3 linked regions of the Canis lupus familiaris genome follow. The protein of the gene in region 2 purifies or fractionates together with the protein of the main gene of each other region. This does not show direct contact. Links are inferred from orthologs where the notes say so. Each region holds a gene or a part of one and is shown on either strand. Other genes may lie near its edges. The genes, in order: EIF3B, EIF4B and EIF3A.

Region 1 (3,182 bases), on a different chromosome or scaffold from region 2:
AAGAGAGCACGTCCTTCCAGTCCTGACCTGAAAGCCTCTGTGAATAGAGGGGTCCTCACGGCAGCCATTGCAGCAGGCATTACTGTTGGCCATGGCCCTCCCCGTGGTGGAGAGGGGCCTGTCATCCCCATGACTTTCCCCAACTCCGTGCTCAGGAACTGGTGGAGAGGAGACGCACCATGATGGAAGATTTCCGAAAATACCGGAAAATGGCCCAGGAGCTCTACATGGAGCAGAAGAGTGAACGTCTGGAATTGCGAGGAGGTAACTGTTAGCTGAGGATGTGCATAGTAGAATACGTCTCTGTGAAAATGTGTTTCTCCCCTGTTATGTGAGTTTTCCAGTTAAGTGTCATAAAGACCCTTAAATTGTCAGAGCACAGAGTTTCCCATGGTTGCAGGTTCACGCCCACGGGGCACCTTACTGTGATCACTCTGGGCTCTCAGCTGACGAGGGTGGGTGGGTGTGCATGTGTGTGCACACACCCCATTACCTCCTCCCCTACTTGCAGGCGTGGACACCGACGAGCTGGACAGCAACGTGGAGGACTGGGAAGAGGAGACCATCGAGTTCTTCGTCACTGAGGAGATCATCCCCCTGGGAAATCAGGAGTGACCTAAGCACAGGGGTAAGGCCTCTTCAGACAGGGATGAGCAGTACCCTAGTGGGTATTCTCTCTCCCCTGTTGTGTTGTCCCTTGAGTGAGGAAACCCCCAGATTCATGGCATTGGGGTCCATATGACCCTTGTGTGGGAGTCACAGAGGGTCCGGTGCACACCCAGGCTGTCAGAGCTGGAGCTTTTCTCCGAAAGTAGCAAAGCACCTAGCAAGTGGGGTTTGAGTGTGGCTAAGACACAGGGCTGGGGGGAGGACGGAGGCTGGCTGCGAACCATCTCTGGGCATTTGGCTGTGAGAGGGCCTTGGTGTGCCCAGCAGAGACGAGAGCCTTCAGAAGCCAGTCCGGCAAGGCTGGGCACTCACACTTCTCAGTAAGCGCTCGAGGAGGACCCAGAGCCATCGTGCCCAGGGCGGCCAGCGGGTGAGCATGACAGCTCCTCAGATAAACTATCTGCTGTTGAGGCTGCTCCCCCGGGGCGTCTGCTCCTATTCACCTTGGGCATCAGGTTGAAGCAGAGCTTGGGGTTTTCTTTTGCCTTCTGAGATGGTCTGGGGGCATCATCGGCGGTCGTTGTTGCTAACATGCCTCCTGTTGTCAAGGCATGGAGCAGAGACTGAACACTTGCTTCCTTTTTGCAGTGTCCCCACGTCTTGTGCTGGAACCAGGTTGTCCTGCGAGAAGCCTGCACAATGCCTGAATTCTCACCTGTGCTTTTTCTTGCTCTAGACTGTGCTCCCGGACTCCCCCATCTTCCACACATTACTGTGCCTTTAACCCCTGGTCTCCACCGCAGGGGAGGATGGAAGGCACTACTTTAAATTTTTTCTTGTTTGGGGTTTTTAAAATCACGCCACCAGTGTTTGTTACTCACACTCTCGTGCACTGCCACAGTGGCCCCTCGGCCTCCTGAAGTGCACAGCCGAGCCGTCTCCCCTCAAGGACTTGTCTGTCCCGTGTGCGTGGGCCAGTGTGGCTGTGTCCAGGACGCAACAGGGAGGCAGCACTCCACAGTGTCCTGGTGCCATTCAGGTTGTGCCAGGTTCTCTCAACGGGCTGAGTGTGGAAATAAAAGCAAACCTGTATGAAAACACTGTCTTTCTCCTCTCTTTAAACGTAGATAGCGGCCTTGAATCTGGTGCCTGTAGTCCCTGCCCTGACCATGGCGGCCCTCAGGGCTCAGCACACCCGCCTGCTGCTTGCCCACGAGGCTGACCTGGTAAGGAGGGAGGCCTCCAGCCTTGCGTAAGGTCATGCATTTTCAGCTGAGCACAGTCCCATCAGTGCAAAAAAAAAATACTCTGTTTTTGTTTTCCATGCTCTTTTCACCTGGTGAGAAAAATCCCTCTAGACTTTTTCTTGGAGTCCTACACGTTTAAAGTCTATGAGAATTGTCACTTTAGCCACTGTCACGTGGTCCTCTGAATATTTAACTTTATTCTGAAAAGAGGGTTGAACGAGTCAATGTAACCTGAACCTCTGCTTCCCATTGGTGCCTCATGAAGTTTCTGCTGCTCCACTTCTGTCTCCGGGAGCCTGACTCTTCGTCTGGGAAGCAGCAGAGCATAGGACGGGCACACCACATTTACCAGCCAGGGCTCGCATGAGCCTGAAGTGTTGTGGGATTGGAGGGGCCTGGCAGTCCCTGCCCCATAGGGCTGTGCTGGAGGAGCAGGCAGGCGGTCTGCTGTGGCCTGGGCCCGGCCATGAGGCACACTTGGCACTCCAGCCCCTGTTCAGTCATTGCTGTCCTGATGCCCCATTGGTGTGTGGGGTCCACTGTGTGTGTGTGTGTGTGTGTGCTCATGTCCTTTAAACCTCATCGTGCCAAGACCTAGGTTTTACATTTGATGGTAAGAGGAGGGTACAGGCTTTGGTCATTCTCACACATTTTTAACAGAGTTTTCAAAAAATTTACTTTTGATTGTTTTAAACTTGCTAGTTGTAATTGTTTTACATAATTTGTTAATAAAAGGATTTCTGAAATGCTTGTGCTTGTTCTGTTCTGTAGAAATGAATTTCCCGGGCAGAGAGATGGCCTGACCCATCTTGCGGGGCTGGGCTGGGGTGGCCCCTGCACTCTGGCTCCTCTGGCTGGGGCATTGGGGTGGGCACAGTTCCCGGCTCCCTGTGTGGGCCTGCCATCCTGGTCCTGTCTCTAGAGGCTGGCAGGACTTGTAGGTGTTTGCTCTTGTGTGGAAAGCAGATCCTTGGGCTCCTTTGGCAGCCTCCTGTGAGTCAGCCCAGAGCCTTTGTGGAAGGGTGATATGGACATTAGGTGGGAGGATCTCGTCTGTCCCCTTGCCTCAGTGATGGAGTGGGGACGTCATATAGAGCTAGCATTGACCTGATGTCCATAAGAGCACAGGAGCAGGCTGGGACAGCCATGGCGACTTGGAGGGAGTCACCTGAGCTCAGGCCTGGTGCCTGCCTCTGGACTGGCCTCTGTGGGCCTTCTAGCTCAATGCTGCAATCTCCCAAGTTGGAATTCTTGGGTTTGAACTTACCGTATTGTCAGACTGACCGCCATGTCTTTAATCAAATGTAGGAGCAGCGTGTGCACTGT
Region 2 (3,648 bases):
GGTTTAGCTCCTGCCTTTGGTCCAGGGCGTGATCCTGGAGACCCGGGATTGAATCCCACGTCGGGCTCCCGGTGCATGGAGCCTGCTTCTCCCTCTGCCTATGTCTCTGCCTCTCTCTCTCTATCTCTCTCTCTCTCTGTGTGTGACTATCATAAATAAATAAAAATTAAAAAAAAAAAATGTCTACACCAGAGAATATGTATATGTGTGTGAAGAGGACCTCTGATAAATCTCAAACCCCAGGATCCACTGAGTTAACTCCAAGTTGGAGGCTCAACACACACACACACACACACACACACACACACACACACACACACACACAATATGATATATAGGAAAAACAGGCCATCTTTTTTTTTTTTTAAAGGGCAGTAAATGTCTTCTCAAAACTAGAAGTTTTGGGATGCCTGGGTGGCTCAGTGGTTGAGCGTTTGCCTCTGGCTCAGGGTGTGATCCTGGAGTCCCGGGATCGAGTCCCACATCGGGATCCCTGCATGGAGCCTGCTTCTCCCTCTGCCTGTCTCTGCCTTTGTCTCATGAATAAATAAAATCTTAAAAAAGCAAAAAAACAAAACAAAACCAGAAAACCAACTAAATGTTTATTTTGTCAGATTCTTTCTACGTTTTAAGTGCAGCCTCCTCAGGAGGTATCAATCCAACCATCACACTTCCACCTAGTCACAAACAGACATTACCTTCCTGTTACTAAAAGGGTAGCTACTCCAGTATGAATAATTTCCAGAAAACTTCTACAACACTTGGATGAACTTCCAAATCATCTCAGTCTGGAGCCACGCTTTGAAATGCTCAAGTACAAATCAACTTAGAGGTGGGAGGAAGAAACTTAAAAAACAAAACACTGGTTCGCAATAAGGGAAGAGAGATGTTATGATTTAATAGTTCAGTTTCCAAAACACTAAAGATGTTTGTGACCAATCGATAAATTCAAGGAAGGAAGGAAGGAAAGAAAGATCAAGAGTAGAAGATCATCGCTCCAGACATTGCTCTGGTCGTACAGGACATCCAAAAAGGCTGGCAAGAGAGCTGTAGGACTGTGACTGCTCTAAATAAAGGAAAATTCTGGAATGTCAAAACAAAAAGAAGGGACAAATCTAACAGTCAAGTATACTCTTTAGTAGAAGATCATTAAACAGGTCGCCCAAGTCTCTTCTGATGCCATTTTCTTAGATTTTTCAGACTAGATGTAATATTCTGCTCAACCTATGCTAACCGAAATAAAGCCCCCATGACTGAGTTTAATACCCCACAGTGACTGCATAATTTGGTTATGGCTCATTTATGGAAAGAGGCAATAACACGTGATACCCACCCTGGTCTGACTTACTTCTGCCAGTTGTGGCCGAGGTCCCAGTCTGTGATGACTCACTTCCTGTCCTGGACCGTTCCCGTTCCTGAGTCTCTTCACTTCGCCAGCTTGGGTGTCTGTACAAAGAGATTAAAAAAAAGAAAACAACTTATGTCCAGCTCACTGAAGGCCACTTTGGACCCATGCTGACCCCTCAAGAACCATCACTTCATACTCATCAGGCTTGCTGTATTTGTGGGTGGGTGTGCACATCTTGTTTCTCTCAAACCATTTGAAAGCTACAAAGATAAATACACTTTGGCTCTAAACACTTGAAGCTTCAACTAGAATGAAGAATATTCTCCTACCTAACCTACAGCCCTCCCTTACTGGTAACACAACTCTAAAAGCCATTTAAAACTAGGCCATTTTACAGGTTTCTACCCCATTAGATCCAATGCCACTTTTTAATAACAAACACTTCACTACCGACTCCTTTACCATCCTGAAATATCCTTAAATAATATACCTGACATAACACACGAGTAAAAATAAATGTAAAATAATTTATATATAGTTTATGTTTTATAGAAGTAAAAACATTTTCTCTTTATTCCAGCAACTCGAATAGAGGCACTTCCACTCATCTCATAATGGTGGCTTTACCCCATATACTAAAGCAAGATTTGGTCAATTTTTTAATGGGTCAGATAAATTTTATTTACAAAATATGGAACAGCACTGGGGCACCTGGGTGGCTCAGTTGGTTAAATGTCTGTCTTCGGCTCAGGTCGTGATCCCAGGGTCCTGGGATGGAGCCCCGCATCGGGCTCCCCGCTCAGCAGTCCGCTTCTCTCTGTGCTCTTTCTCAAATAAATGGATTTGGGGCGGGGGGAGGAATAGGCCGTAATTTGCCTACTCCTCTATTAATCGATCATCAATTTATAGTTGTCAGAAGTTAAGCCCAGTTAAGCCCCTTTAAAAGCCACGAGGGCCGGCAGGCAACTAACTCTTCATAGGGTTCAACTGTCCCATATACTGCAGCGCACCTACTGGCCCCAGCCTGTGTACACTAGATGCTATTAAGTGACAACTAATAACGCCTGCATGAATTTCCCAGATGTGCCCTGGGATGTGTACCACACCCGTCCTTCAGGAAGCAATTCGTTCCCAGATCAGAGATCCGTAACTGAAGAGAGCCTCACCTCTCTCGAGGCCGTCGCTCTAGTTTTGGCTCATCCAGCTGGCGCTGCAGCTTCTCCTGCTCCTTCTGCAGCCGCTCTTCTACTTCTCGCTCTCTAGCAGCTGTGTCAACAGGCTTTGCCCCTCCAAAGATAGAGGCCGCTCGACTGGACTGGGAGGTGCTAGCGGAGGAATCATCTTCCTTAGGAGTACTCCGAGGCTTTAGATTCAGTTTGGGTCTTTGGGGGGGACCTAAGTTAAATAAAACTCTAAGTAACAGTTTTTCAAAATCCTCAGAAGCTGATGGCCAAAAGTCAGATGCCCAGACACAGCTCTTAGAAAATGCCACATGGGGGGACATGTGGTTGAGCATCTATCTTTGGCACAGGTTGTGATCCCATGGTCCTGGGGTCAAGTCCTACATCAGGATGCCCGCGAGGAGTCTGCTTCTCTCTACCTATGTCTCTCCCCCTCTCCCTGTGTCTCTCACGAATAAGCAAGTAAATAAAAATCTTAAAAGAAAAGAAAATGCCACACGGGAGAGTAGCAGCCTAGCCAATCCAGTAGAGAAGGGAGAGCATTAGAAAATAAATGGGTGGTTTAAACAACCAAGGACAATCAATCTTCCCACTACGCCACCCATGAGGCTGTGCTACACACTGAGGACTTACATGGTGAGTCATCACAGCTACTATTACTAGGAAGAAATGGTCAACTATGATAAACTACTGGATGCAAGTATCTTGGTAAAAAACGTGGTCTGGAAGATGAACTACTTCAGGAGGCTGAGAAGAGCTTGTGACAATACAACGGGAAAGACTCTACTTCCTATACTCTTGGCTCTGTGTGGAATCTAAATCTCATAATGATTCATGGAGCAAAGCATACAGTACCAAATGGCTAAATATAAACTCTAAAGGAATTTGATTTCTCCTTGGATCCAAACTGTCAGAATATTTTAAGACAAACCTTAGTGTTTCAAGGGAATTGTATTTCTCAAAATTAGTGTTTATCCTAAATAATTTCAAACATACAAAAGATAAAGCTTACGTATACCAACCACTGGCTTAAGTAATAAAACACTCGAAAAGTCCACTGAAGGCTCCTGATTATCTTTCCCCTGATGACACACCTAGCTGTGTTCTTATAACCTCTAT
Region 3 (4,229 bases), on a different chromosome or scaffold from region 2:
ATATTCTTGAAATAAAGATTAAAATCCAGAATTATAAGCTATTACTAGAAGGATGGGCATTCTGAGTTTTCCTTTCAGACACAAAGGCAAACTGTATCGAAAAAATTTAGGTCTGTCCTTCAATATTACTAGCTTACTTGTACAACAGACCAAGTAGATAAGCTACAGTGTTACACAATTTGTGAGTTTAAACAACTTGATAAAACACTAGTAGAATCAAAATTAAAAGGCTGTTACAAGATCAGGAGCAATGAATTCCAAAGAACTAACAACATAATCTGGGGCTTTTTCCAAATGATTTCAGTGTATGAATTTCTTGCCTCTAACTGCTGGGCCAAGTTCTCATCTTCCTGAATGATTACTATAATCGTCTCCAAAAATATTGTTCTGAATTACAGATTCAGAGTTACCTGGAGAACTATTCAACTTAAATTTACTCACATTTTATTAAGACAATGCAATGGATTAATTCTAAATGTGTTTGATGCTACAAATGGTATAGATAAAATGTTGACATAAAATGAGATTATCTCTATCGAATGGAATATGCTTTTATAATCCTAGTTTTGTAAGCAGTGCCGTGTGTCATCCACATTCTGCTCACTTTTAACACTTACAGACAGAATCTCATTCACAAGATCAAAGGTACAGAAATTACTAGTTGAATGCTAAGCCCTCTACTACAGAAACACCCAACCTACATTTTAAAAGGACTGCAGCAAGGAGTCAGTACAGCCTTTTAAAAAACCGACACAACCCCCGCCAGGGTGCCCCTTGCTCACGTTGCCTACTTTCATTTCAGATGCTTTCTCCCAAGTTAGAAAATGTGAAAAAAGATTTAAGATGTTACACATCCAAAAACCCTTCTAATTTAAAAAAATTACTGACATACTAAGCTTATATGACCATTCAGAGGGAGGAGTGATGAAAGAAACAAGGCCTGAACACATCAAAAGTGTAGTATTTAGGCCATGAAAATTTCAGTGCTTCAGCCTATTAGCATGGGAAAGACACTTGTCAGTAAAGCAAATGACTGTAAAGCAGATCTACAATAGCAATTAGAACAGTAACTGAATCCAAGTCACTCTATATACCGTAAGTTTCTAAACATAAGAAAAAAAATTAACTTTACTACAGTTCATTTTGTAGTGATGAATTTCCACTTCAATCTATTTTCTTTCCTAGAAATTAACGTCCTTAATTCTTGCCTATTTTAACTATTAGATCACTGGTTAAAATGACTAGCCATCAGATCTAAGTTGTAGTTTTAAATGATTTTAAGACAGATGCTGTACTCGAATCCAAATAATATGGAATTACCCAATTTCACACTCTTAACCCCCAAATTGCTACTTTTAAAATAGCAGACACGTTATTAAAAAAATTTTTTTAAGTAACCTTTAGTCCTGATAGGTTATCAGGAGTATTCATTTTATGTATTGACTGAAATTGGCCAATTTTTCCCAAGAGGAATTTTTCAAACAAGTCAACAAATAGAACTTCATAAACATAAAATTCTAAGAGACACAGTGTAACAACCTACAGCATGGGTTAAGACCCAAAGCTTGTTTAGGTAGAGGAAGGTGAAAATAAGAGCTATGGACGCTCTACACACTTAGAAATTGTTGGGCTTAAAAAACTCTAAACGAAAGTTTTTTTTGTTTTTTTTTTTAAGACCAGAGCAATGCATGATACATTTGCAGCCCCATAATGCCAACGTAATAAATGCCTCTTGAACAGACCCGCACAGGCACAAGTTTTCCCTAAAGGGCCTGTGGCTTTAACCCACATGGAAATAAAAATCGCAGGCAGTAGCCGCTGCAGCGAGGGGGGGGGGGGGGGGGGGGGGGAAGACGACTGATCTGCAAGTCTAGAGACCTCGGTTCCAGTCTCCTGGCTCAACTACTAACTCCCAGAGTGACCTTGGGTAAACATTCTCTCTCTCTCTCTCTCTCTCTCCAGGCTTCAATTTCGTTATCTTTAAGAGAGAACTTGAAGTCTCTCTCTCACGGTATTAACTCTGTTCCAACTTCATGCGGCTTAGAATAGGCTTCGGGGCGGCCGATAGTCAATGCCAGGAAGAGCAGATAACAGGTTAAATGGGTCAGTGTCTCCGCGGCAGAGCTCCGGGGACTGGGGGAAAGGGTGAGTGGACCCTGACCCAGCAAAGCCCGGCGCTGGATTTGGGGGGCGGAGGTGCCCGCGGGAGGGCCGGGGGTGGGACTGCCCGGCTCCCGGCGCCGGCAGGAGGTGGAGTCGAGGTTCTCGCGTGCATTGTCCCCGGGAGGGAGCCATGTTTCTTCCTCCCCGGCACTCCCAGATGGCGGCTGGGGGCGCGGGGCCTCAGCAGCCGAGGGCCCGGCGGCCTGGGGCGCGGGGCGGAGGCGGAGAAGCGGGGCAAAGGAACTCGGGCCTCGGAAGCCCGTCTTGGGGCCGCGGCCCGCGAGACGCACCAGGAGGCGGCGGGGGGGGGGCGGGGGGAGGAAGAGCCCCCCCCCCCCCCGCGACGGTTCCCGGGTCCGCGCCTCCCACCCGCCCCGGTCGGTCGGTCGGAGCGAGAAGGCAGACCGTGCCCACCACGGGCCGGGGCGGCGGCGGGCAGGTCGCATCGACCTCTCGGGCCGCAGCCGAGCAGCAGAGCGGCGAGACGCAGGCCCGGGTCCCTCGACCTCCGAGGCGCCTCGGGCCGACCCAGCCCGGCGCGCCCCGATTCCCGACTCACCGTTGGCGCGTTTGAGGGCATTTTCCGGCCTCTGGAAATAGGCCGGCATCTTGGCGGCAGGCTCGGCTCACCCGGCGTCAGCGAACTCCTTAGTGGCCCGGGCCGGGAGGGGAGACGAAGGGGAACCAGCGCGAGGCTCCACGCGCCTCGCCAGCAGTCGCCCGCGCCCAGCCGGCCAGAGACGGAAAGGAAGGAGCCACGTGACCCCCGCACGGCGGCGCCGCCGCCGCCCAAGCCCCGGATGTAGGGGGCGGTCCTGCGCGCGCAGGCGCGCTGTGGTCGCGCGCGCCGGCTGACGTGGCGGCGGCGGCGGCGGCGGCGGCGGGCGCCCTCCGTGCGGGGCGGGCACGTTGCGGGGCAGGTTCTCAGGCCCCTCGCTCCTCGAGCGAGAATCGAGCTGGGAAACGTGAGGTGTGGGTCGGAGGCTCTGCCTGGCGAGGAGGAAGGCGTCTGCACCGGTTTGGGACCTGCTTTGTGCGCAGTCATGCAAAGTTGCAGTCGGGTCCCACCCGCCCCGGGAACGAGCTGAGCTGCGCGAGAATGCCTGGTCCGTCCGTTTATGGGAAATGCAGCGCGCCGCGGCGGCCTAGTAGTGAGCAGCCCTCGACGGCCCCCCGGGGGCAGGAGGGACGCAGTAGATAAATCAGTGAGCTTGTTTCCTATGGGCGAAATAAAAAAAGTCGCTGACACAAAGGTTGCCTGGGGAATGGGGACCCTCGGAGAAGGTGAGTTTTGAGCTGAGACCTGAAAGATGGGGACGAACTGGGGACGGTAATCTGGCTGTGCGTCATGTTGGAAGATACATGGGAGTGTTGTCGCCTTCACGTTATGCTGAACATAAAAATAATAATGATGAGTGTTCCTGGGGGGGTAGGAGGGATCAATTTCTCAGGCCCTTTGCTACAGCCCTTTGTTACTGATCAACAATCTTAATTAATGTTCGATCATTAACTATTAACACCCAGAACTTGAAAGCCATTTGAACTGAATCTTAGTTAACTCAAGCCCTATGAAATTAAGGCGGGTTCAGGAGAAAAATTAAGAAAGCGTCAATGGAATAAATTGTTGCAAATTTTTTACCCATTTTGTAGTAATGGATGGGACATGAGAACGAACGGCAGAGTTCTCTACGAGGGGACAAGGAACCCACAGTCCACACACGCGAAAAGCATCTTCCCCTCGTTCTTTAGGCCTCAGCAAAGAGGTTTTTCTATTTAGATCTATCACCAAAAAAGAAAGGAAACTCGAGACATGGAGACACAGATACAAAATACATCTCAAGGGATCCCTGGGTGGCGCAGCGGTTTAGCGCCTGCCTTTGGCCCAGGGCGCGATCCTGGAGACGCGGGATCGAATCCCACGTCGGGCTCCCGGTGCATGGAGCCTGCTTCTCCCTCTGCCTGTGTCTCTGCCTCTCTCTCTCTCTCTGTGTGTGACTATCATAAATAAATAAAAATTAAAAAAAAAATAAAAAATAAAATCTTTAAAAAAAAAACAAAAAAAACAA

What was found.
Region 1: the proteins of EIF4B (region 2) and EIF3B purify together in Homo sapiens (affinity purification with mass spectrometry; 3 studies listed by BioGRID and IntAct, with this or other methods). This does not show direct contact. The link is inferred for Canis lupus familiaris from reciprocal best matches to the Homo sapiens genes EIF4B and EIF3B.
Region 3: the proteins of EIF4B (region 2) and EIF3A purify together in Homo sapiens (co-immunoprecipitation; 3 studies listed by BioGRID and IntAct, with this or other methods). This does not show direct contact. The link is inferred for Canis lupus familiaris from reciprocal best matches to the Homo sapiens genes EIF4B and EIF3A.

Annotation. Positions count from the first base shown.
Region 1 is NC_049227.1:14,923,776-14,926,957, reverse strand, and holds the end of EIF3B (eukaryotic translation initiation factor 3 subunit B), read left to right. Parts: intron 1-155; coding exon 156-264; intron 265-511; coding exon 512-615; 3' UTR 616-628; intron 629-936; exon of another isoform or gene 937-1,039; intron 1,040-1,257; 3' UTR 1,258-2,602; downstream 2,603-3,182.
Region 2 is NC_049248.1:44,524,572-44,528,219, reverse strand, and holds part of EIF4B (eukaryotic translation initiation factor 4B), read right to left. Parts: intron 2,744-3,648; coding exon 2,515-2,743; intron 1,447-2,514; coding exon 1,334-1,446; intron 1-1,333. UniProt on the Homo sapiens protein: Required for the binding of mRNA to ribosomes. Functions in close association with EIF4-F and EIF4-A. Binds near the 5'-terminal cap of mRNA in presence of EIF-4F and ATP.
Region 3 is NC_049249.1:29,623,100-29,627,328, forward strand, and holds the start of EIF3A (eukaryotic translation initiation factor 3 subunit A), read right to left. Parts: upstream 2,929-4,229; 5' UTR 2,772-2,928; coding exon 2,723-2,771; intron 1-2,722. Other genes in the region: DENND10 (DENN domain-containing protein 10), read left to right, coding at 3,282-3,447. UniProt on the Homo sapiens protein: RNA-binding component of the eukaryotic translation initiation factor 3 (eIF-3) complex, which is required for several steps in the initiation of protein synthesis.